Bombyx mori: one gene and its partners. The main gene of each other region encodes a partner of the protein of the gene in region 5 in a complex. Links are inferred from orthologs where the notes say so. Each region holds a gene or a part of one and is shown on either strand. Other genes may lie near its edges. The genes, in order: ruvB-like helicase 1, bromodomain-containing protein 8, PHD finger protein 12, vacuolar protein sorting-associated protein 72 homolog, mrg, histone acetyltransferase Tip60 and transcription-associated protein 1.

Evidence for each region.
Region 1: mrg (region 5) and ruvB-like helicase 1 share a complex: the UniProt entries of both Homo sapiens proteins name them as parts of the nuA4 histone acetyltransferase complex. The link is inferred for Bombyx mori from reciprocal best matches to the Homo sapiens genes MORF4L1 and RUVBL1.
Region 2: mrg (region 5) and bromodomain-containing protein 8 share a complex: the UniProt entries of both Homo sapiens proteins name them as parts of the nuA4 histone acetyltransferase complex. The link is inferred for Bombyx mori from reciprocal best matches to the Homo sapiens genes MORF4L1 and BRD8.
Region 3: the proteins of mrg (region 5) and PHD finger protein 12 are in contact, whole or in part, in a cryo-EM structure (PDB 8BPA), measured with the Homo sapiens proteins. The link is inferred for Bombyx mori from reciprocal best matches to the Homo sapiens genes MORF4L1 and PHF12. Residues at the interface, in NP_996670.1 of Homo sapiens: Glu201, Lys204, Pro205, Leu207, Val208, Asp209, Trp211, Asp212, Tyr251, Ala252, Glu255, Val256, Gly259, Ile260, Glu262, Tyr263, Val266, Met267, Thr270, Gln271, Leu272, Leu273, Tyr274, Lys275, Arg278, Pro279, Tyr281, Ala282, Leu285, Arg304; in NP_001028733.1 of Homo sapiens: Cys62, Glu64, Gln81, Cys82, Asn84, Pro86, Pro204, Leu206, Arg207, Arg208, Pro209, Phe210, Leu212, Leu213, Ile214, Ala216, Ala217, Arg220, Asn221, Pro222, Thr223, Gln224, Phe225, Gln226, Leu227, Pro228, Glu230, Leu231, Thr232, Thr330.
Region 4: mrg (region 5) and vacuolar protein sorting-associated protein 72 homolog share a complex: the UniProt entries of both Homo sapiens proteins name them as parts of the nuA4 histone acetyltransferase complex. The link is inferred for Bombyx mori from reciprocal best matches to the Homo sapiens genes MORF4L1 and VPS72.
Region 6: mrg (region 5) and histone acetyltransferase Tip60 share a complex: the UniProt entries of both Homo sapiens proteins name them as parts of the nuA4 histone acetyltransferase complex. The link is inferred for Bombyx mori from reciprocal best matches to the Homo sapiens genes MORF4L1 and KAT5.
Region 7: mrg (region 5) and transcription-associated protein 1 share a complex: the UniProt entries of both Homo sapiens proteins name them as parts of the nuA4 histone acetyltransferase complex. The link is inferred for Bombyx mori from reciprocal best matches to the Homo sapiens genes MORF4L1 and TRRAP.

Annotation. Positions count from the first base shown.
Region 1 is NC_085128.1:12,881,644-12,885,868, forward strand, and holds the end of ruvB-like helicase 1, read right to left. Parts: intron 4,180-4,225; coding exon 4,011-4,179; intron 3,892-4,010; coding exon 3,800-3,891; intron 3,710-3,799; coding exon 3,603-3,709; intron 3,287-3,602; coding exon 3,184-3,286; intron 1,972-3,183; coding exon 1,880-1,971; intron 1,249-1,879; coding exon 1,089-1,248; 3' UTR 501-1,088; downstream 1-500. Other genes in the region: uncharacterized protein LOC101739682, read left to right, coding at 1-221. UniProt on the Homo sapiens protein: Possesses single-stranded DNA-stimulated ATPase and ATP-dependent DNA helicase (3' to 5') activity; hexamerization is thought to be critical for ATP hydrolysis and adjacent subunits in the ring-like structure contribute to the ATPase activity.
Region 2 is NC_085117.1:1,939,524-1,943,554, forward strand, and holds the start of bromodomain-containing protein 8, read right to left. Parts: upstream 2,801-4,031; 5' UTR 2,449-2,800; coding exon 2,264-2,448; intron 988-2,263; coding exon 807-987; intron 1-806. Other genes in the region: uncharacterized protein LOC101740762, read right to left, coding at 3,997-4,031. UniProt on the Homo sapiens protein: May act as a coactivator during transcriptional activation by hormone-activated nuclear receptors (NR). Isoform 2 stimulates transcriptional activation by AR/DHTR, ESR1/NR3A1, RXRA/NR2B1 and THRB/ERBA2.
Region 3 is NC_085122.1:14,108,160-14,111,659, reverse strand, and holds part of PHD finger protein 12, read left to right. Parts: intron 1-393; coding exon 394-541; intron 542-2,714; coding exon 2,715-2,887; intron 2,888-3,359; coding exon 3,360-3,500.
Region 4 is NC_085112.1:12,275,051-12,277,448, reverse strand, and holds part of vacuolar protein sorting-associated protein 72 homolog, read right to left. Parts: intron 1,986-2,398; coding exon 1,910-1,985; intron 867-1,909; coding exon 763-866; intron 266-762; coding exon 112-265; intron 1-111. UniProt on the Homo sapiens protein: Deposition-and-exchange histone chaperone specific for H2AZ1, specifically chaperones H2AZ1 and deposits it into nucleosomes.
Region 5 is NC_085127.1:11,194,657-11,198,604, forward strand, and holds the start of mrg (mortality factor 4-like), read left to right. Parts: upstream 1-1,148; 5' UTR 1,149-1,175; coding exon 1,176-1,203; intron 1,204-1,319; coding exon 1,320-1,437; intron 1,438-2,062; coding exon 2,063-2,175; intron 2,176-2,727; coding exon 2,728-2,823; intron 2,824-3,671; coding exon 3,672-3,762; intron 3,763-3,792; exon of another isoform or gene 3,793-3,948. UniProt on the Homo sapiens protein: Component of the NuA4 histone acetyltransferase (HAT) complex which is involved in transcriptional activation of select genes principally by acetylation of nucleosomal histones H4 and H2A.
Region 6 is NC_085124.1:9,221,765-9,225,264, forward strand, and holds part of histone acetyltransferase Tip60, read left to right. Parts: coding exon 1-65; intron 66-1,763; coding exon 1,764-1,847; intron 1,848-3,437; coding exon 3,438-3,500. UniProt on the Homo sapiens protein: Catalytic subunit of the NuA4 histone acetyltransferase complex, a multiprotein complex involved in transcriptional activation of select genes principally by acetylation of nucleosomal histones H2A and H4.
Region 7 is NC_085110.1:5,834,481-5,837,980, reverse strand, and holds part of transcription-associated protein 1, read right to left. Parts: intron 3,004-3,500; coding exon 2,788-3,003; intron 2,124-2,787; coding exon 1,635-2,123; intron 716-1,634; coding exon 551-715; intron 390-550; coding exon 258-389; intron 1-257. UniProt on the Homo sapiens protein: Adapter protein, which is found in various multiprotein chromatin complexes with histone acetyltransferase activity (HAT), which gives a specific tag for epigenetic transcription activation.

The DNA of each region.
Region 1 (4,225 bases), on a different chromosome or scaffold from region 5:
CGGTGGCACTTCGAAGCGACGGCGAGAAAATCGTTATAGTATATCCGAGTAACGTGAGGGACGAGCGCAAGATTCGTTCGCACTCGTATCCTGAGGAGATGCAGTTCGAGGCTCTGTACCACCACACGGCCGCGCCCAAAGACCTACGTGTCGACCTGCCTACCTTTACCCCTCCCACGTCGACAGCAGCCCCCAGTTCGACTACGACAGTGAAAAAGTAGTTACCCGTAGGACAAACGTCTTCATGACGTGTAATTTAAGTAGTCATATAGGTACACATTTGTAAATTATTTCCTTGTAAATATCATGGACGAAATACCAAATCGGCGTATTGTTAAAAACATATTGTTATTAATTTTGTCACTTAGAGTCATAATGCCAATTGTTTAGTATTAACAACGTTGACTGAATATGCCTGAACAGTAAAAAACCATTATGTAAATAACGATTGTCTAGACAAATTTAGAATAGGTGACGTTTTGTATGAATAAAAAAAAAACTTATTTATTACACAAATCCAGTTTCATTTATTGTTAAATTCACATTTAATACGACAAACATAAAGGTTGACTCCAAATTAACGCAACATTCTTCATTTCCTTACAAATATGAATTATGAAATACTAAACGTAAATATCACATGTGTTTTATGAATAATACGGCGAGAGGTATAGAGAAAATACCGGTCTAAAGATTCATTAAATATTAAGCACCAAAAACATACTCATACTCCCAGACAATACCGGTATACTCTATAATTAATTGAATAGATCTATAATTATTTGCATTGGAAAAGACTAACATCATTTTAAAAAATTAAAAAGATTGTTTTGCCTTTTAAGTAACCGTTTTAAAACTGTAACAAACATTGGTCAAAATAATATTTTGCTACATTAATCTTAAATTCAAGGATTTAAGATAACAAGTTTTACTAAGTTGTAAATCAGAAGGAAAACCTCGTGCACGTGCGTGCTCTGCTGTTACCAGCGCGTGAGTTGATATATGGACAGTTTGACATTATCGATATGAACGTAAAAAAGCATCCTATCTATCTGATATTCAAATTACTCTATATTTTTGTATTATTTTTACTGCATGTATTTATCGGAATGTTGAGTGAGGATTTTGGCTGAAGCTTTAGCGTCAAGGAACAGCGTGTGGACCGAGGACACGTGCGCCGGCGATATGCGCTGGCAGCCGTCGGCTCGCGCGGCCAACATCGCCGGAGTTAGCAGCTGAACTGCGTACCTGTAAGAAATCGTAAAAGCATAAGTACCTGCAATAAGTCGTATAAACAAGTATTTTGAAGGCGTCGTGGCCTAAAGGATAAGACGTCCGGTGCATTCGTGTTGAGCGATGCACCGGTGTTCGAATCTCGCAGGCGGGTACCAATTTTTCTACTGAAGTACGTACTCAACAAATGTTCACGATTGACTTCCACGGTGAAGGAATAACATCGTGTAATAAAAATCAGACCCGCAAAATTATAATTTGCGTAATTACTGGTGGTAGGACCTCTTGTGAGTCCGCGCGGGTAGGTAACACCGTCCTGCCTATTTCTGCCGTAAAGGCGTTTCGGTTTGAAGGGTAGGGCAGCCGTTGTAACTATACTGAGATCTTAAAACTTATATCCCAAGGTGGGTGGCGTATTTACGTCGTAGATGTCTATGGGCTCCAGTAACCACTTAACACCAGATGAGCTGTGCGCTCGTCCACCATCTACTATCTACCAATATTGTTACTATAATACTTTTGCTTAACATCCTGTATACATATATAGGGATAAAATAAATCACTTTTATTGTTATTATATGGCATGTTAATAAGCCATCATGATGAAGACTAACGAAAACCACGGAAAATACAAATGTTCATTAACCTGAGCGTCGTGTGAGCTCCAATCTCAGAGAGCGCCGACAAAGCTTCGTCCTCGATTGAAATTCCTTCTGTGACCGCACGGAGCTTTAATATCTTTAACAAAACACGATTTATACGATATAAAAATAGGCACTTGCAACTTATAGTTGTTTGTTAGTTCAAAGGACAATACCCATTTGTGCCCCAGAAACGCCCAGTTAAAGTACATATATTACAAAATTGCTCTAATAAATAAAAACTAGAATTATGTTGTTAATTTTAAATCATATGAAGCACTGGATAAAAAAATTTAAAAAAATAAGACTTCTTATTGACATTGCAGTACGTATCATCGTTTTTTTAATCATTAATTCATGCTTTATTTATTACGGTCTGGTTGACACTATACAATGGAGACAAACTAGATATTTCCAAATAACTGACATGTTTATTTGATAGTATTGGCGAGGAAGAGGAGGCAAGCAGTGGTGTACAGACGAAATTAATATTTTATTTTTCCTTCCAAATTATATTTGAAATAACGGCCGTGACAATAATACAGGTACACAGGTGTTGTGCGTAAGGTTGCTGCGAGAGAAGTGACGGTGCGGTCGGAGTAGTGCTCGTTGACCGATTTCCTTTCTTTTTTTGGTAGTTTTTGTGCGCATAGACAGATAGCATACAGATAAGTATTTAAAAGAACACTGATCTGGCTTAGCTTATGTGATGATCATGAAGTTCCTAGTGAAAAACTAACAGCAATGTAGTCTGTAAGCGATAAAATGGATAAAAAACCACTAGGAAGTTATCATGTTTAATGTCCAATATCTTTTGAACCTGTGCTTTATATGACATTAAATCTAGATATCATATAAATACTGTTAAAAATCTATCATATGGCATAGAGCTGCAATTTGGGCCTTGCAGGGCATTGTTGTCTTTCAGCTCCATACTAATAATAATATGGGCATTGTCCTTTATCATTCACATTTCTAAATTCATTCAATCATTCATATTTCTTGTAATTTATTTAGCATAATATCTCATCCAGTTGTTACGCAGTCAACGAAAGTTAAAAAAGATGGCCTCAGGTGCCTTATGATGAGCCAGAACTGACCACCTAATATTTCTGCCTTAAACAAATCGAAATCTACAATGCAATTAATGTGTGGTATAAATCAAACACCACAAAAATTCTAATTTGCATAATTATAGTTAGGTACGTCTACTATTTTTAGCATGAAGCAGTCACTAACTATAAAAATAATGTTCTAAAATTATAATTTAAAAACAATTAAAACGGTTAAGGCTAATACAGAAACATACCTGTAAAAGTTCTGCTTTGTTATACGGGAGAGTGCGTATTATTAATAACCTATCTAATAGATCTAGTGGAATGCCGTGTGGTGATACAATGTCTTCTGTCCCTCTGGAAAACACACAAATTAATAAATTAGGGTTATTAAAATTGCAGTAAGAGTGAAATGCTACGCGCCACTAATTGTACCAAAAATGTAAATAACTAACAAAAAAAAAAAATTAGAATCATATTCATAGACATTCAACATTTTGTCATTTATTAATTTGAAAATAAATTAATTAATTAATAACAGCATACATATTTATTTACTATGCACACGGAAAACGATAAGGTCGGACATCGTGATAAAGTATTAAGGGTCACTGACCACTGCCAATGAATACTTAAGTTTGATAAATAATCAATAGTAAGTCTTAAAATTTACCTGATTTGACAACGCCCTCTGTTTGTAGCAAATATAACAATTGGTGCTATCGCGGACTCCAACGCTCGATGTAGGTATGTGAAAGTTTCAATGTCCAGCATGTGTACCTGAAGTAAATAAGTTTTGTTATTTATCTAATGCAAAAAAAATATATCAATAGCTTTAATCACTTTTATTCAGTATATATGTGTACCTACCTCATCAATGAATAGCACACCAGGAACCAGTTCTGCAATCCCTTGATCTATGTATTTGTTCACAACTTTATTGATCTCTTTTCGAAGTTTATCTGAAACACAACAAAAAGTAAAATACCTCAGAAAGAACGAGAGTTAGCAATTGACCTTTTTTTTAATTAAGAATTATACTTTTTCAGATACCACTTCTAAACATTATAAAGTAACACACCTGTTATTTCAGTCTTCTTTGGTTTCATGAGTTGTCCCATCATAGACATAATGTCATGACCTCCCTGCGGTCTTGCATTAGCACAATCCAAATCGTGTAAGGTTACATCTTGTACAACTTCTTTCTTTTTGTGTACATCACCTTTGGGTAGCGGAACATATTCTTCAGCCTAGGAAACAAGTTCAAAGTTGATTATCATCCAAAGAGGGGATTAA
Region 2 (4,031 bases), on a different chromosome or scaffold from region 5:
CTGTGGTACAAAGGTAAAGAAAGATATATTACTAGCTTATATTTATGAGTCAAAGTGAAGTCGTCGTGGCCTAAAGGATAAGAGGTCCGGTGCATTCGTATGTAGCGATGCACTGGTGTGTAAAAATAAGACTTTGACTTAAAACTCTCATTACTAGGCTATAAAACCTTTTAAAAGTTGATGTTGATGTTGACACCGAACTGTCACTAAATGGTCAGATATTAGCCAATACTTAACAACTCTGACAGCACTTAAAGTTTTATAAAAAGCTTGAGATTTATAAAAAAAAAAAAGTGCGTGCGTACAAAGTACACATGTCAGAAGTGAAACTTTTTTGGCGAACTAATTTATAAGTCTTACTTATATTTATGCAAATCTAAAACTTTAGATTTCCAAGACTTAGAAGAAGGGAAAAAGGAAGATATGTTCCCGCCAAAAGTCTGTCAAATGTCAATCTCAAACCTCAGTGTTGACATTCACATTATGCTTAGATTTCTAAATTGTAGATGACTAATATTTTGCCAATTGAATTGACTAATTTAATTTCATGCTATGTTCCAAATTCTTTTCATTTCATTTCAATTCCTATTAACATTTTTCACAAAAAAATAAAATATTAGGCTGTATGATATGATACATTTGCCTTTCCAGTTGGAAAAATACAACAACTACTACTACTGACATTTGACAAGTACTTAATTTTAATAGTAGTTTGATGTCCTTCCGTTGCATACCTGCGTGACGTTCTGTAAAAATTTTACCCTCATAAAGAAGAAAGAAAGAAGTTTCACTTGAAAATTAAATACCTTCATTACTTCATGTTGTTGACTCATTTCAGCAATATTCTTCTGGATCTCGGCTATCCGATCTTGGGTTAAACGTTTCAATATACTCTCCTGTGGAGTTTCCACGCCACCGTCAGAGTTTCTCTTTTTTCGTTTCGGCGTTTCCACATGTTCTAATAGCGTTCCATATTGTGCAGCACAGCTGATGGATGGAAATGTGTTAATGACATACGGATAACGGAGCCCACAGTTCTTGTAGATCTAAATCTCATTATCATTCAGCTATCCAATGCTTCAGAGGAAGACATGACATCTACGCAGTTTGATATGGATTGAATAAGCTCATAAACAATATAACTATTTAAAATAATAGAATGAATATAATTAATTAGAGCTTTAGTGTCTTTCAAATAAGTTATTTGTAATTTTGTTAATTTTTTTATGAATAGGATTAATTTACTGGGGATTTAAGGAGCAATCTGCAAAATTTAAATTTTTTCATAGATTTTAAATAAAGAAGGTACATACTTAGTTAGACTCTTTTTATATGCCATTATATCAGAACTCTTTCCAAAGTGTAATTACATTAAATGATTTTATTTTAAAGCTAGTGCTATTTTATTATTTATTTTATTTATTTATTTATGTACACACAGAAAACAAGACACAGTACAGAGTAATAGGAAAATTATGTACAAAGGCACTACTTATTTCTTTGAGAAATCTCTTCCAGCAGACCTGCGAGAGGATAATGAGAATAATAATAAAATGTGATAAGTGTGTGTAGAACAAACTTATTGCTATATATGCTACTTATTTTAGTTTATTTGATAATATATTTTTATAAATTATTTATAATATTGAATATTCAATTGGCTTTTGACAATGATCTCATTTTATTTTGTTTAACTCGGTGTTATTGTTTTGTCAAAATGTTGTATTAACATTTCTTTTGAACATTTAATTATTGGGGCCACCCGCCATATAATATAAGAGCTGTGTTTAACCAATCCTAATGTTGTCAAAGTTATAGAGGGTGTCTTTTAGCGAGTGGAAAGACTTAAAGAGCGGACAGTTCACGTGGTATCGACATGTTATGCGTAGAGAGGAGATGCATGAGACTAGGAGATTTATGGAAATTGTAGTGCAAGGTAGAGGGGGAAAACTTGACCAAAGAAGACATGGATGGAGTGTGTGAATGACGATATGAGAGAGAGAGGAGTGTGTGTTGACCTATTATAGCCTACTAAATACTATAATAGCTCTACTGAATATAATTTTAAGTTTTATCGAGTTCAAATAACGTGGAAAGCGTGGTGGAATTTTCATTGGTGAATAATGCAAAAATGGTTTGAAAATAAAAAATAAATGTGTAAAAACGAATGTGTTTCTCATCAACTCAGCCACCACTTCACTATCGCAAGCTATTTCAAACCTGTATCAATAATTATATAGTAGATATAAAAGAAAAACAAAACCTTTTTTGGGAATACCAGTCCGGAGGCCTGTTTGGCTCGCCAAGGGTCTTTAGAGCGCGGGAAACCGACATCCAGTTCTGATCCCCGCTTCTGACCACGGCGGAGGCCAGGCATAGCTGTTCACGTATATTCCAAGTGTCCAGAGGAACTCTTTTGAGCTGAAGACGCTCTTGTATCGAGCTCATTTTGAGGTTATGTTTTGGAAATGGAGTTTCGAGATTACATAACTATTTATAGTTGTTTAATTGTCCATGTAATGTGTATTTACTGTTTTGAAAGTATATTATTTTTATTTTATTATTTAACTGTTTAGAACACAATTAATAAGTGTTTATTCTATGATACAAACGTCAAACATGATACAAAACAAATATATTTTTTTTAAAGTATTTAATGACCTGGTTATCAAGACCTTCGGGTCAAGTCTTATTTTAATTGTAATGAAAACTTTTTTATATGTAAAATTATAATATTTTATTTCATATTATAATTTTACATATAAATGAAGTTGATTAATATAAAACATGGCATGAAATGAAATCAAATGAAATGAAAACGAAATGGAATGAAAAAGAAATCAATTAAGATGAGATGATATAGGAAGAAAATATATAATCTCATTAAAATGGTTGTCATTTCATTGTAGACTTTTTCAGTGAAATTTTTGGAGGATCCCGAGAAGTTACGTTCAGCGGCTTGTTAGTTGGCGTGTTCAATTATTATTATTTCTTTTATTTATTGCTTAGATGGGGGAATGAGCTCACAGCTCACCTGGCGTTAAGTGGTTACTGGAGCCCATACAAGGTAAATGCGCCACCCACCTTGAGATATAGGTTCTAAGGTCTCAGTATAGTTATCTCGAATATATTAAGTGTATAAATCTATGATAGTTAGACTCTAATACACTTTTTAAATAAGATAGATCTATGACATATTTTTTGAAGTCGTCGTGGCCTAACGGATATGACGTCCGGTGCATTCGTGTTGAGCAATGCACCGGTGTTCGAATCCCGCAGGCGGGTACCAATTTTTCTAATGAAATACGTACTCAACAAATGTTCACGATTGATTTCCACGGTGAAGGAATAACATCGTGTAATAAAAATGAAACCCGCAAAATTATAATCTGTGTAATTACTGGTGGTAGGACCTCTTGTGAGTCCGCGCGGGTAGGCACCACCACCCTGCCTATTTCTGCCGTGAAGTAGTAATGCGTTTCGGTTTGAAGGGTGGGGTAGCCGTTGTAACTATACTTGAGACCTTAGAACTTATATCTCAAGGTGGGTGGCGCATTTACGTTGTGGATGTCTATGGGCTCCAGTAACCACTTGATACCAGGTGGGCTGTGAGCTCGTCCACCCATCTAAGATATAAAAAAATAAAAAAATATTTCCACTATTTTCCACAATCCACTGAGTTGTCTATGTCGTGGGGCGTTAGGGATGATAATCGCGTGCCAAGTGAGCCTTAGAATCGCCTACCGATTCGACACAATTAAAAATCTAATCTTTTAAAGTCCTTATAGGTTATTATTCCCAGTATGCGTTTAGGGTCATGTTTGTCATTTAGGCCTGAAACGAGTCACACGAAATTAATTATCAGCATTCAAACGACTTTTTAATTATTTTTAAGGAATTCCGGAAAATAAAATAATATCTCACATTAATTTCTCTCAAATTTTAGATACATATATTTTGTGTGTAACTTGAAACTTAGTTTTTCTTTAGTTAATTTTATGAGCTATGTCCCGCCGAGTTTCCCCTCTGCC
Region 3 (3,500 bases), on a different chromosome or scaffold from region 5:
AAGGGTGGGGCAACTGTTGTACTGTAAAAATTGAGGCCTTAGATCTTATATCTCGAGGAAGGTGGCATTATGTTGTTGATGAGCTCCGGTAACCCTTTAACACGAGGCGGGTCGTAAGCTTGTCCATCCATACAAGGAATTATAACATACAACATACATCTACATTAAGCAAAAAATAATTAAAATATCATACTCATTGGAGTCACTAGCCACCATGAGTAGACATCTGTCGCCCCTTTTCTGAAGGAGCTATCTTTGAATGTTCAGAAGCTAGAGCCGGGCTTCAGTGCGAACATTAATGTTGATGCAAAGCTCGTTATTTCAACGCGGCTCTGACACCGCCGAAGTGTGTGTGGGGACGCCGTGGTGGTAACACAAGCTCGTGGTGTACAGCGCGGGGCCGGGCGACTCCCTGGGCCGGCCGGTGCCCATGCGGCTGTCGTCGCTGACCGTGGGCTCGGACAGCGGCTGTGACGTCACACTCGACCCCGCCCTTTGCCGGTGCGTCTCCCGGAACCACGCCGTTATATTCATGGACGAGGTCAGTTAAATACTTTGCTTTTGTTCAAATATTAATGACGCCACTCTACGCAGCACGAAGAAATCTCCCTGGCCGAACACAACCGGCGCCCCCCTTCCACGTCCCGCTCGGCCCTGGATGTCAGAAATCTTCGTATTTTCGTCTTTATAATAACCGGCAAATTTCTTGAGCATTTGTTGACGTAGTGGGGGTAAGTTTGCGCATGGTACACTCACGTGCAAAAACATTACTTACTCTGCGTCATAATGCTATTAAATTATTAAAATCAACATATGTATTTATTTATATATTTATTAGAACATCAACAAAACATATAGGTTAATAATTGTAATAATTTAATCTTGGGGTAAAATAGATATTCCTTCTATTAAGTCAAAACTAGAGCTGTTGCCAGGTCTTGGTTCAGTTAAAGCGAAGCTGGTATTTGTAATTTTTTTTTCGTTATCATAATCTTGACCATCATCATCATCACTGTTTTCATCACCCGAGTCGCTATCATCGTGATGAGTCGACATAGGGCTCATCGGCGTAGTTTACAACTCTGTCGATTCGGTCTTCTTTTTTGTCTATAATTAATTATTTTTTGAAGATATTCGATTCGTAGTAATCGAATGTTACTTTTTTCATTTACCAGCTTCCGATTATTTTCTGTTCTTTTTTTCCATCTGAAGCCTAGCTCTTTCATAATTCGTCGTAAGCTTCATTCCGAGCCATTAAAATTTATATCTTCTTTAAATTCTTCGAAGCCTTTCTACGGTACGGAGTTTCGCTGCTTGTTATGTAGTTATTATGATTACATCTTTTTATTACAGATTGAACGAAACTATCCATTCCGGTAACTTTCTTCTTCCCTGATCTTTTCTTACCCGGAGTCCGAAACACTGCGAGCAAGCCAGAGCCTTTAGCTTCGTTAATAATACACCTAACAGTACTCACTGATGTTTTTGTTGCTTCCGAAGTCTGTTTTAATTTTTCCATATCATTCTTCCCCTGTTTTATAATGAAGCAATATACGTCGTACACAAATTTTCTACCCTTTCTTTTAAGTACTACACAAGTTTGTCGCGGCATAGTGTATTTTTTATAAAAAATCAACAAATACTCAACAAATAGCAATGGCAACAAAGTCAACAAGCAATTATAACAAAATTTATTAACGATTAATAACGATAGACTTTTCACTGTACGCAAGCGTACTTTTGGGAGCAAGCGGAACGAGGGCGCGGTGCGGGACGCAAGGTTCGACTGATCTACCAATAACGCGCTCGATACGATTTCCCCTGCCGTCGCGCCTCACCCTCACCACCAAAGTGATCTAAAATTCGGTTCTGCGCAGTCAAGGTCATTTGCTCAAGAAGTTTGCCGGTTACTATATCAAACGTATCTAGCGATGCACCGGTGTTCGAATCTCGCGGCGGGTACTAATTTTTGTAATGAAATACGTACTTAACTAATGTTCACGATTGACTTCCACGGTGAAGGAATAACATCGTGTAATATAAAATCAAACCCGCATAATTATAATTTGCGTAATTACTGGTGATAGGACCTCTTGTGAGTCCGCACGGGTAGTTACCACCACCCTGCCTATTTCTACCGTGAAGCAGTAATGCATTTCGGTTTGAAGGGTGGGGCAGCCGTTGTACTGTTTCAAGTGAGGCCTTAGAACTCATGTCTTAAGGTGGCTGGCAGCTACGTTGTAGATGTCTATGCGCTCCGATAACCAATCAAAACCAGGTTGGATGTGAGCTAGTCCGCCCATCTAAAAAAAAAAAATGTGTGCGTGTACTAGTGTACACACGTAAGAAGTGAAACTTATTTATGGCCTTATTTTTCGAAAAATGATCTACATGCAACTTTCTAGAAATTGGTTAAATAAAGTTAAATTAGATAAAGTTTAAACAAAAGGATTTTATTATCATAGACATGAATACAAAAAAGTTAAATTAGATAAAGTTTAAACAAAAGGATTTTATTATCATAGACATGAATACAAAACAGATGGCGCGTAACGGAAAAATGTGACGCGTAACCGAAAAATGTGACGGTAAATTTTTTTCCAACGCCGATAAGGAAGTTTCACTTCAAAAAAAAGGAAGACTATATACTGGAAATTCAATATGGGTACTCATAAAGCCTTGTGCTTTTATTAACATCACATGTTGTTTTACAGGTGAGCGGACACTTCGAGCTGATCAACTACTCCGAGTTCGGCAGTCGCGTTAACGGCGTGCTGTACACGTGCGACCCCCTCGCCGCCGCCCCCGCCCCCACCCCCGCGGCGGACGACGCTCTGCCGCGCGCGCTTCGAGATGTCGTCAAAGAGAAGGACTCCCCGCTCGACAGGTGCCAAATTTTTTTCTGTGTCTAATAATAACTGAAATTCATGTTATTTACGACTGACCGGCTGCCGTACCTAGACTGCCGATGGCTTCGTCCTTGGGGTAGGCCGCGCGTCTGGCTGCAATGTTGACTGCCCAGGTTCTGACCTCGGGGGAGATCGGACTCTTGGTCAAGAGTGTACCTGAATCGTTTAGTGGTTATTGGCCCTAAATTCCATTTCTTAAATCCGTGGTCTGCTCCCAATATCTGTGGATCATTCAGCCTAACATACCCCGTACGCCCCCTAGGGAAGGGGACCTTGTAAGAAGGGGTCTAAAAAAGGGGCACTGGGCCCAGGGACAACTAGCACTTTAATGGTTGCATTTCTACTGCCGTTACGTTTGTTTTTTTATTGCTTAAAAAAAGGCTAGTAACAAAAGACAACCGCTCTGTTCTGTCATCCATAACATGTTATATATCTCACGCATTGTTACAGGATAAAAGGTGACATCACGGAGCCCACGTCGTGGTGCTCGGCGTGCTCGTGCGGCGCGGGCGCGGGGGCGGGGGCGGGTGCGGGCGCGGGCGCGGCGGCGGGCGCGTGGGAGGGCTCGGCGCTGGTGCCGCACGGCGCGCT
Region 4 (2,398 bases), on a different chromosome or scaffold from region 5:
GTGGGTGGCGTATTTACGCTGTAGATGTCTATGGGCTCCAGTAACCACTTAACACCAGGTGGGCTGTGAGCTTGTCCACCCATCTAAGCAATAAAAAAAATCACTACATACATATTAACGCTTTCAATTTTAATTTCATCATCAGGTCCGATCACGTCTATCTCCATTTTAGTTTGAAGGTCTTCGGTCTGCTCTTCCTTTGTCTCAACTCGATCTGTATCGATTTTCTCATCAGGAGCATCCAAATCGGCTTGTGTTAATACACCTGCAATTAAGTTTGTCTCATGAATTTTATTATTTATGTACAGTGTTGTAATAAATAAATAAATTATAATACTGTCATTAGAAAGCTTCATGTGCTAGATCGGAAGTTCGGTTTGCTATTAAAGCATTTATTTATTTATTATAGTTATCTAAATCACGATTTACGAATTAATTTTAAACTTTTTTTTTTTATCTACAATCCACTTTAAAATATTATTTGTTTATTTGTATTAAATGGATTTATTGCTATTTCAAATTAAGGTCTTAAAAAAAAGAAATTCATATTAAGAACTCATAATAATGCCTATATTATTGCCATTTGTTTACTAGATTTTGGGTTATGATTTTTTTCACTCACAATATTCTTATACTTTTAATACTGAATATGAAATAGATAGATAGTTCATCATTTTCTACAATAAAATTGTTGAAGTATTATTGAAATCGGTATATGATCATTAGGGTTCATAAAACAGTGTAAATAATAAATAATCTTACCGTCTTCATTTTTTATGTTATCAGTTATGCTTATGTCCAGTGGCGGCGCACTGTTATCTACTTCGTCACGTTTGAGACACACGGGCACAGCAAATGAATGGTACCTATGAAATTAATTGCATAATGAAAGTTAAAAGTTTACTGATGGTAGGACCTCTTGTGAGTCCTCGCGGGTAGGTACCACCACCCTGCCTATTTCTGCCGTGAAGCAGTAATGCGTTTCGGTTCGAAGGGCCAGGCAGCCGTTGTAACTATACTTGAGACCTCAGAGCTTATATCTCAAGGTATGTGGCGGCATTTACGTCGTAGATGTCTATGGGCTCCAGTAACCATTTAACACCAGGTCGGCTGTGAGCTAGTCCAACAATGTGAGCCATAAAAAAAAAGTTGAACTAATAGTGTTAATATGTCACATCGAGGGGTGAAAGCCAATTTGGTTTAAGCGACATTTCGCTTACTACCCGACATTTATCTTTGTAATTAAAGGTGTGGTTTATTTGGTATCAGCTTCAACAATTCCATATTTTTAATTGAACTTCAATTAAGTCTACTCCAATCAAATAGCTGAAGAAGTCTTTTCTTATATCTATACTAATATATAAATCTACAGTGATTTTTACGGATGTTCCTACTGAACCATGCATCCTATTGACTTGAAACTTTGTATCCATGTAGAAAGTACATGTACTTATTGGATAAGCTAGTATTTATATCGACGCTTGAAAGGCAAACGTGACTAAGCGACAATAACTGCTTTGTACATAAATGATAGGCAATAGCCATATTCGATGCACAAAAAATATATATTTCTAGGTCTATTAAAATCATTTTAATCCTACAGCTAGATTCGTTAAAATATATTTTTTTTTCAGGTATTTCAACTTTAAATTAGTCTACTGTAAAGTTCACGCATTGTCGCTTAGTCACGTTTGCCTTTCAAGCGTCGATATGGTTGGACTCTCTAATAATAATGACAATAAATAATAATGTTAATTTTAAATGCGCAGCGAAGCGGGCGAGTGCGGCTAGTTTTTTATAAATTTTAAACTTTAAATGGCTCTACTGTAAAGTTGCAAAAATGTCGCTTAAACCAAATAAGCCTTTCACCGCTCGACATATATATCAATATATTTAAATGAGTACTTACTTTAGTACGGGTCCAGTTATAGTCTTTTTGATCGGTCTAATCTTCTTGCGTTCTAGTTCGATTTGTTCAAAACGTTCTGAAAACACAACAAATATAATTAAAATACTATGAAACTACAACATACAACAATACATACAACTAAATTAGTTTATATTTTACATCCGTATATACTTACTTATACTGGTGGTAGGACCTCTTGCGAGGCCGCACGGGTAGGTACCACCACGCTGCCTATTTCTGCCGTGAAGCAGTAATGCGTTTCGGTTTGAAGGGTGGGGCAGCCGTTGTAACTACACTGAGACCTTAGAATTTATTTCTCAAGGTGGGTACCGTATTTACGTTGTAGCTGTCTATGGGCTGCAGTAACCACTTAACACCAGGTAGGCTGTGAGCTAGTCCACCAGCCTAAGCAATAAAAAAAAATATGTGTCGTTGGTCCATTTTATGTTAGTTGATTAGTTGATCCTACAGAATTAAAAAAGCTGGTGG
Region 5 (3,948 bases):
GAACTACTATTCAACAGTGGCTACTGTGATCTGGAATTGCCGATGCAATAGCCACTTCTTCCTACACGAGTAGTAGATAGCCGTGTCATTTGCGAAAAGCGCTAGATGGGTCTCCGCAGACCGGGGTATATCATTGATATACAAACTACATAATAACGGGGAGAGCGCGGAGCCTTGTGGGACTCTGGCCGTCAGATGACGGGGGCGAGAGTGAGCTCCCTCTACTCAATATCGAAACGAACAATTCAACAAGTCTCGTATGATGAGCACGAGTCTGTAGTCCCATGTTATACAGTTTGTATATGAAACCGCTAATTTTTGTTGAAGTGAAAACAACGCAAAAAAAATGTGATGACAGTATACTATGCTGCGTTCCGTTTTAAATAGTAACCAATATATCTAACTATGAAGGAACAGCTTCGCTATATTGACATCCGACTTTACAGTACTCGCAGTGCAAGCTAGAACATAACCGAAGGGTGGTAGTTTATGGCGCTGTTTTTTAAATCTTTCCACTTGCTTCTATGGCGCCAGCTTAATTATATTCCTTTCAGCAGACACTTTTTATTATACTGAGATGGTACTTCTTAGTTCTACCCTCCATATGTGTAGCAAAGACTAGATAAAACTTTAATATAATGCTGCGTAATACAAATACAGAGAACACACATAGACAAATTGAATAGTTCCAGAATTTCAATTAATGATCGGAACATAGCCTTCACTGCCATCTAGTACATTTCAGTTTGTTTAAAACTGCTGTGTTCATATCATTTGCACTTTCTATACTAGCGATATTTCGGTGAGTCTTCGAACAATATCTTACCGTTTAGAGGTGGAGACTTTTTCAACTTGTCCTCTATACAAAATGATATTCCTTAGTTCTATCCTCCATGGCTACACAGCTACCTAAGGCAAAACTGACTAGTTAACAAGGATGCCCATTTTCGCCCTAAATTTATATAGCTTAATATGTATAAAGCAGGTTAAAATATAATTCTATAGTTAATTATTATTGTAAATTAACTTTATTTTCATTTTATGTGTAACACAGGAAACATTTGGCAGTATGGTCTTTTACCTTCGCCTTTCCTCTTTTGTAAAAATTAAACGACTCAAGTCACAAGTCAGTCAGCCATTTGTAAACTGTAAACAAATAATCACATTATGTAGCAATGGCACCAAAGTTAAAATTTGCTGAAGGTAAATTATTTTTAGTACACTATTCAGTATAAATGTTTAGAATCAATTAATTTATTTGAAAATATTTATCGGTTTATTTACCGTAATTTATTTCAATGCAAATTCCTTAATTTCAGGTGAAAAAGTGCTATGTTTCCACGGACCGCTAATTTATGAAGCAAAATGTTTAAAAAGCTCAGTTACAAAGGACAAACACGTGAGGTATCTTATTCATTACGCGGGATGGAACAAAAAGTAAGTCATTTGGATGTCAGATTTGACGAAAATTAAGACAAGTAATGTAAACGAAATTTGTTGAACGGTGACCGATTGAATCACGAAGACTTGAAAGGATTCAATAGTAATTAGTATCTACCATTAAAGTATGTACTATTATTTTATAAAAACCTGCAAGCTATACATTATAATTCATACAATAAAGCTTAAGTTAAGAAATTTAGTGATATTCACAGTATTTTATTTTGCTGTTCAAAATTATAATCATATAGCACCACACCAAAAATTTTATTGGTTAATGTTAAACTGTTAAACAATAATATATTATAACATTGATCAATAATAACACAAGAACACATGAAGTTCAAAACTACACAAGATTAAAAACTCACCGACTTAAAAACAAATTAAAGGATTGCATCAAAATATTTTAACAATAAAATTAAAAGTATTTTATAGAAATCTAACTTAATAGTCTTAATACTTATAATAAAATTACAGTGGACTGAATCCATACCACTAAAATTATTAGTAGATTAATAAACATTAAATTTAAACCAAATTTATTTAGCTGTATGATATGAAAAACTACTGAAAAGAGAAATACAAATTGTATATTATAAATGTCTTAATGTTATTTCAGTTGGGATGAATGGGTGCCTGAAAGCCGTGTTCTGAAGTACAATGAAGCAAATGTACAAAGGCAGAAAGAAGTCCAAAGAGCTCATTCCGCACAACCAACTAAAACTAAGAAAAGTTAGTAATTTACACCGTTTTCTAAGTTACATTTAAAAATATTTGGAACCATGGAAATATTTGGTTTTATAATTAAAAGAAATAATACCATTAAACACTGGATTGTCTCTTGCAATTCTAGAGGGTGGTGCAAGTATAAGGATTAAAAATCAGTTGATTTGTACATATTTTATGAATTTGAAAAATACTTTAAATTTTTATATATAGGAAAACAAATCAGATTTAGAATCTGTATGAACTAGTATAAGATATTGTTGTTACTTTGATTTATTTAAATTAACATTTTCTTAGTTTTGCGAGTTTGACAGTAAAGTAGACATGATAAGAAAAAGTCTGTTCTTATTTTTATTAGTTCATCCTGGCATTTTATGTACTGTCTATACTTTTATAGTTTTTGTGATAGTTACAAATGTAAAAATATGACAACAGGTGATTTATAGTTTTAATGGGTATTACTTCTTGATTTTGCAATAGATTCTTGAAAATTAAATAAACCAATATGATCATTCTGTACAACAGTCTAAAAATCTGCAATATTAAATACAATTGCAGCTCCCGCAAAGGGTAGGAAATCTGATGCAGCAGTTGCTGCAACTACTCCAGCTAGAGAAGAATCAAGAGCATCTACCCCTGCGAGTAGTACTCAAGGTATTTTTGTTATCATTAACAGAAGCTTGCTAAGGTTATTAGATTTGGAAGCCTAAAAATTCAAGATGAATAAGAAGTCGATAGCTATAGTATTATGGTGTTTTTATTGATGTATCAAAGCTATGGACACCAGGAACCTAATGCTTTCCAATTAGTGTTTTTTTTTTTTTTATTTGTGGATGAAAGTCAGCAAAAGGTAACTTAAAAAAATTAGCAATTCTAAAGTATGTTACTTCTGTTTAGCAAATTATTAAAGTGTGTCAGTTTTGTCTCGCCTTAGTTTTTGTTTAAAATAAAATTGGATCTAATCACAACGAGGAGAAGCTGGGATGGATTTTGAAGGATTCCTTTTACTCACATTAAAATTTTCTCTGGAATGGCCTGCTTATTTCGAACCATATGTTTTGACAAACAAAGCGATGTTCACACTGTTTCACTTTATTGTTATTATTATTATATTTTATTATTTAATTATGAACTTAAGAACATGTGTTGGGTAACAAAGCAGTTCACTGTGTGTGTGTCTTTATACAACCCGCACTTAGAAATCCTTTTATTAAAAGAAGAACAGATATCCTCACTAATACAGTTACGAAGCAGCTTGTTGCTGATTTAAAGGATAGGACAGCTGTCATAAGAATGCAATTCAGTTCTCGACCCACTAAAAAGATGTATTCCAACAGGTAGTTGGTTTATTAACGCAAATAAAAAAAAAAAAAAATTATAATGACAAAACAAGTAGGTATTTAGGAAAATGAGTTCCCATTGTAAATATAGTTGGCATTCAGTGTGAGATCCAATTTAAATTTTATCTCTCATTAAAACTCATGTTAATGTTTTCTTTTCAGTAAAAGAGTCCGATAGTACACCAGCTCCCGCAAAAACAACTAAAACTCAGAGTAAAGATACACCTGCTGATTCTGGATCTGATCAACCTAAGTATGTCTGTCCGTATGTTTAACACACACTCACACGCATATTGCAATCTTTTGGAACCTACTCATGTTCCTACACAGGTTCACCTACTTAAGTTCATGCTTATATATAAAAGTTGATAATTATATATGTGTACCGCTTTAACATTCCATACAATTTTGGGGTTCAAAAATAGTCGTCTAATAATGG
Region 6 (3,500 bases), on a different chromosome or scaffold from region 5:
ACATCGAGATGATAGAACTGGGACGGCACAGGATACGACCTTGGTACTTCGCGCCATACCCCCAGGTGAAATGCATTGTTAATTAATCGCTATCGGCTTTAAATATTTGTTAATTAATCGCTATCGGTTTTAAATATTATGCATTTTATAGAGAAGTCTGTTTTTCACTGTTGACCTCTGTGGGCTTCAAGAAGACCAGGTGTGCCGTAATTGTCTGTTGGACTAGAGCAGCGGCTTTCAACCTTTTTTAGCACTTCACATATTTAAATGCATAGTTTTTTTTTTTTATTGCCCTTGTAGGCAGACGAGCACACGGCCCACATGATGGTGAGTGGTTACCGTCGCCCATGGACTTCAGCAATGCCAGGGGCAGAGCCGAGCCGCTGCCTATCGCTTAATACTCTCCACAAGCCTCGTTTGAAGGACATGTCATAGCGCTCGGAAAAAAAACCGTGGAAGGGAGCTCATTCCATAGCCATAAATAATAGTTGTAGGTATATTTATATATGTTAACGGAAATGTATGTAATCCGTCATTGTATACAATTCTTAGGAAATGTATGTAATTCCTAAAATCGCACGGAAATGTGTGAAATAAATTATATTATACTTACACATTACACATTTCCTAGGAAATCTATACATTTCCTAAATAGCAATCGGAAATGTAAAACATTTAAGATATTGGTGGGTATGCGGGGACAGCGGGACGAGTCTTGCACTACGGTCAGTTGCCAACTTGCAATCCACTGGAACCTTCCAGGGACTTAAGAAGTGCCTTTGCAAGAAAAACTGTGCTACATCAAGATGTCTGTGTTTTAAAAATAAAGTATTATGTACTTCCAAATGCCACTCGAGCTTACCCTGCAAAAATAAATAGCTATATGGACTGACAAAGTATTATCATATAAAGATTTACTTTTATACTTTGACATTTATAATTATTTAATTATCAGACTGATTACTTGCCAAATGAAAATTTGATTTTATAAGAATAAATATAAGTTGATTTTGTGATACGTTAAAAGTTAATAGATAGTTGATTTTAGAAGTTTTAATTAGTAAGATAATATGAACATATTATTATTATTTTACGGTATGACTGTTACCCGATTGTCTCAGTAAGTGTTATATTAAAAAAATATTATTAACAACGCGTTTTATTACAGAAAGCATTTACTTTATACATTTCCTAATACGATATTGGAATTATATACAATTCCGAGGAAATTTATACATTTCCTAGGATATCTATGCATTAAATAGTTTTTCAAACAATATTTTATACATTTCCTAAATAGTATCGGAATTGTACACATTTCCTAGGATTTGTATACAATTCCTTGATTTCATACATTTCCGGTAACATATACATATTTATTAAATTAAATATTAATAATCTACTAAACAAAGTTGTAAAGTTAATATGTAGTAGACAATTATATATCTCCGTCATATATACCGCAGAGATGCAATTCCTTTGGGTAACCTTAGATAAAATTGTCATATTTGTAAATCTTGCGACATACTTGGTACACCACGATCCGATGGTTGAGAACCACTGAACTGGAGCAATAAAAACTCTTTTCGAGCTTAGTCATCTTTAGATATAATAATATATTAAAGCAGCTCAAAATACTTTTATTAGTGCTATCGAATTCTCAATGACTATTTATTTTATCAGCGGTAATAAAACTATGTTAATAAATAGTGGCATTAAATTTAAACTAGACATTTAATAATGAATTAAAATTATACTTTCAGGAAATGGTGAATCTCCCTTGCATATACATCTGTGAGTTCTGTTTGAAATATAGGAAAAGCAAAAAATGCCTCGAAAGACACTTGGTAAGAAACTTGTGTGTCGTTTTAATAACGATTAATCATATTGTATATATTAAAGTGTATTACCGGCATCGGGCTTCTTAAGGAACTTTAAAGCCTTCGTCAAACAGAACGCGTACTAAACGTCGCGCTCTTTTCATGTCACACAAATTGACTAGATGAGTCCAACGCTCCTTGACGCAACGCATTCGCCAAATCATAGTGCCTTTCGATAGCAGTGAGAAAATTTAAAAGTATTAAGAAATCGAGTAATTCAGATGTGGCATTGTATAAGCATGGGTATTTTCTAACTATTTATATATTTTTTTCGGGCATTATCTAGTATTTTAATACACATTCACTCAGACGCCAAAATAAAATTTGTAAAAAATTACAATGCCTGACGTCAAACGTCCTAACGCCGCGACAGAGCGCTGCGTACTTATAGCGCTGGGGCTCTGTTTGACGGTATGTTACCATAGTAGTACAACACATCTCGGCGTCATAGCGCGGCGTCAGTTTAGCGCTCTGACGCGCGCTAATTACGCGTTTAGAGTTCTGTTTGACGAAGCCTTAAACTTTTAATTAAATAAGTCTTCTGAAGTCATCGTGGCCTAGAGGATAAAACGTCCAGTGCATTTTATATCGAACGATGCGACAGTACCGGTGTTCGAATCCCCCAGGCAGATAACAATTTTTCTATTTTTTATTTAAATAAATTAACAAATGTTCACAAATGCATGATGTTGCATGTTGCACGATGAAGGAATAACAGCGTGTAATATAAAAAAAAACAAACGCGCAAATAAATTATTTTCGCAATTACTGATGGAAGGGCGTGTTGTAAGTCCGCACGTAAATAGTTACCATCACCCTTGAAGGGCTTGAAGGGTGGGGTAGTTTATTGTACTATAGAAAGAACTGAGACTTGAAACTCGTGTTTCAAGACGAGCATTTAGCTACATTGTAAAAAAACTGAAAACTTACATTTTACGTACTTGTGAATATTAGTGGTAGTCGAAATTTCGACTATAATTAATTGAAATTGTATATTTAAACATTATTATGGTTCTATTGTCAAACACATTAAACTTCTATAATATAATCACATATTTCGCCAAAACTACACTATAGATAAATATTAAAGGCAAAGAATATTAATCTTTTTATTATTTTATTGCTTAGATGGGTGGACGAGCTCACAGCCCACCTGATGTTAAGTGGTTACTGGAGCCCATGGACATCTACAACGTAAATGCGCCACCCACCTTGAGATATAAGTTCTACGGTTTCAGTATAGTTATATATATATCTATTCTCAAGTTGACCACAGATTTTAAACATTAACAAAAGTTTGACAAATGACAATAAAACAGAGTATATATTTTATACGTATGTGTTGTGTCAAATGCATGGTAGTGTGTGTAACGTTTTTATTTATTGATTTAATGTATTATGCATAATTAAAAAAAAAAGTATTATTCTTCACTCCTACTCTATATTCTCTTATAAATGTGGAAAATTTCATACTCCTCCGTCCGCGCAATTTTCGTAAAAATGGGTATAAGGTTTTTGCTCCACGTATTAATATATAGATGTAATTCTTATTTCCAGATCAAATGCAAACTAAAACATCCGCCGGGCAACGAGATTTACCGCAAGGGAAGCATATCGTTC
Region 7 (3,500 bases), on a different chromosome or scaffold from region 5:
TTAAAATAAGACTTGATCTAAAGGTCTTAGTTACCAGGTCATAAAATCCATAAAAATAGGTCACCACTCCCAACTTAGAATGTGAAAAACATACAAATAGTTCGAATACTTTACGGCAATAGATATCCCCGGAAAACGAAACACAGGGCAGTTTCTCGGGTGATAACTACTCTAACTATGCAGACTTAACTGTGGTTTTGATGGAAATGTTACTATAAAATGCAACGCAATTCGAATTTCTATTAGCAATTACTTACAGACGTGGTAGGTTGATGCGGTAAATGTGCAATGCTCTCGGCTGTTTTGTGACGCTCTCGCTGCTCAATCTTCAACGTTAAGTACAGAGTTCGGATTGGGAAGTATACGGCTTGTGGATATAATCGACCAACCTGAGTTACAAAATTAAAAAAAAACATCAAACAATATAATCAATATTCAACTTTCTATAAAAATAAATAACAAGTTTTCTTATATACATATATACTGAACTTTATCAGTTCGACTTTGACGGCGGCGATATTACGAAACCAATAAGTAAGCGAGTACTCACATGACTGAGCAGGTTGAGTATAACATTGCCGTCGTACTGCACGAGGCAGGCCAGCAGCTGCGGTATCCAGGGCAGCCACTGCACAGGCGGGACTCCGACTGAGTATTTATCTAATGCTTCTGCGAGACTATTCTTTTCGTCGTCGAAACTCAGCATCCATAACACCTAGAACAACGATTTGGTTATTTAACCTGAAGAGACGATGTATCATATTAATGTTACGCCGATAAGAGTAACGCCATCTATCGCCGAATATTCGAACGAATATCGAAGGATCTAGTAGCCCTAGAACGCTCGAGAAGCCCATCGCCATCTATTGTCAGATAGCGGAAACAATACTAGAGATGTGTGGACTATTCTCGATAATTCTAGGGATGTGGTATCGAGTATAAAAGCGTTGCAGGGATTGCACGCAGTCATCAGTAAGTATCTACAGTCGGCATCGCTGCGCCACTTTGAGAAGGCGGCACGACATGAGAACCCTCTTGTCGTGGCCGCCGGAAACTACATACCCGATCCTGTAGACCGTTTGGTAAACCGTCGACGTCGCCCAAAGCACGTCATCACGGATCCTCCTGATCCACTAACGGTGCTTTTAGGCAATACAAGCACCGGTCACCGTCCTCGCCGAACCCGTCGCTTGCCACGAAGGGCTCGACGAGCGAATTAACCCACAGACACAGCCCACTGAGTTTCTCGCCGGATCTTCTCAGTGGGTCGCGCTTCCGATCCGGTGGTAGATTCTGCGAAGCACTGCTCTTGCTAGGGCGGTGTTAGCAATTCTCCGGTTTGAGCCCCGCGAGCTCACCTACACAAGCTAGGGCAAGCTGAAATAGCCTCTCAAGGCTATCAGCATAGGTAGGGAAAAAAAAAAAAAAAAAACACGCAGTCAGTCAGTAATCAGAACTACTCGAAGCGAAACAGCGAACGGATCACCTGAAGCGAAGCGAAAGAAGCGAACTGAGAGTTTTAAGTGTTTTAAGTTTTCTAAGTGTTGATTACAGTTTTGAATTATACTTCGGTGGAATTTTATTTATCCCGAATCCCAGCGTGTAACATTAATAACGTCGTGTTCGTTGTTTACCTTGGCACAATATTTTCTAGACTTGGATTCATTTTGATGACGACACGCGTGCAGGAAGCAAGTCATGGCGGAGACGCCTACGGAGATCTGTCGCGGGTCGCGGATGAATATCTGTTCCAAGTAGTCGCCCCACAGCGCCCAGGCCTTCACGAGCGTGTCGTGCAGCTGCACCGCGGCGGCGAACGCTTTGTTCGCGTCGTCGGAGCGGCCCAGCTGCGCTAGAAGTAATCCTTTGAAAGCATAAAACTCGGCCGTCATTTCTTTAGTGAAATATTTGAAGTTAGTTGATTCGATCATATCCAATCCTTCCTGGAGCTCATCTTTGCCCTCGGTCCATGACATCTGAATGTGACATTTGACTTGTTGCCTTATCTTTTGGAAGCAGTCAACGATCGGTACGCTCGGTATTGTGTAAATTCTGTGTAGGGAATCCAGACACACTCCAGATAGGTTATGTTTTCTAGCTATTTTCGCAAAGTGAATAATGGCCTGCAAGAAAAGAAAAAAATAATGATTTAATTTTTTTTATCTTGATTTGCACGTATGTATGAATTTAATGAATTTAAACTCGAATTTGCATACCATTTTGTATGACTGCATTTTGTATAGGACGATTAAGCAGCAACTATAGTCCAAATAAACCCTAACTTAAATTCCGTTACTGTGATTGAGACAAAATTCAAGTGTCCATTGGTACAACGGCAGTACCCATACTATTATTTAAACCGAAAACTATGTATAATTAACCTCTCTTTGTACCTACTCGTTCGAGTGTTAAGATGAAGTGTGTAAACATGCAGTCTATAAATAAATAAAAAATATGATATGTTCTGTTTTAAGATAATCTATACAAATATTACAAAGCTGAAGAGTTTGTTTGTTTGAGCGCCTTAATCTGAGTGTTAAATAGCCCATTTATTGAGGAAGGCTATAGGCCATATAACATCACGGTAAGACCGGACACGTTCAGTGGAGCACCAATAAAGGATGTTTCAAAATAGGGGTTTAAATAGCTCTTTAACATTCTATAATTCAAAAATATTTTCACGCTCTACGTAAATGAAGTGGGTGGGTAAAATTTAGCGTTATGCCAAAGTAACTATTCCACGCGGACGGAGTCGCGGGAGAGAGCTAGTAAGGAATAAAAAATGACCTGAGCGCTGGCATGGACGCCAAGCATGCTGTGATTGGAGGCGTGGTCCGGCTGCGAGTCGTAGTGCGACGCGATGAACTGGTAGTGGTGCTGCCGCCACGTGAAGATGGCGCCCCAGTGCGACAGCGGGTCCGCCACCACGGGCAGCCGGTTGCGCCACGTCTTCACTATCGCCTTCATGTCGTGCAGGGACGTCGGCCGGCTGTGCACCAAGCCCTGGCCACGCAACCCAACACTTCATACAATGCGACACTGGAGGATCATTATCAGCATAATAAAATACATCATCAACAGCCCACAGTCGTCCACCGTTCGGAGGTCATCGCACCACCTAGCCAATAAAATACAATATTCAATTACTCTATTTTTGTTAGAAGTCATGTTAGAAACCAACAGTAAGTACTACAAACCTGGCTTCGTTTAGAGAAACGATTCCCTAGCACTCAATATACAAGTTAGTCAATATTCATAATACTGTTTGCGCATCATTCATTCTATCCACCTCTAACTTTAAGTATTGTTGATACTACAGTTATATATTTTAATAGATAAGTGAAAACACATTTAGCGACGGTTTCATTTATAATAAATAAGTGGTCATCGTTGTCGTCGAATCCGTTGCTTGCGACGAATGGCTCGACGAGTAAATTTACCCTCAGACACAGCCCACTGAGTTTCACGCCGGATCTTCTCAGTGGGTCACGTTTCCGATC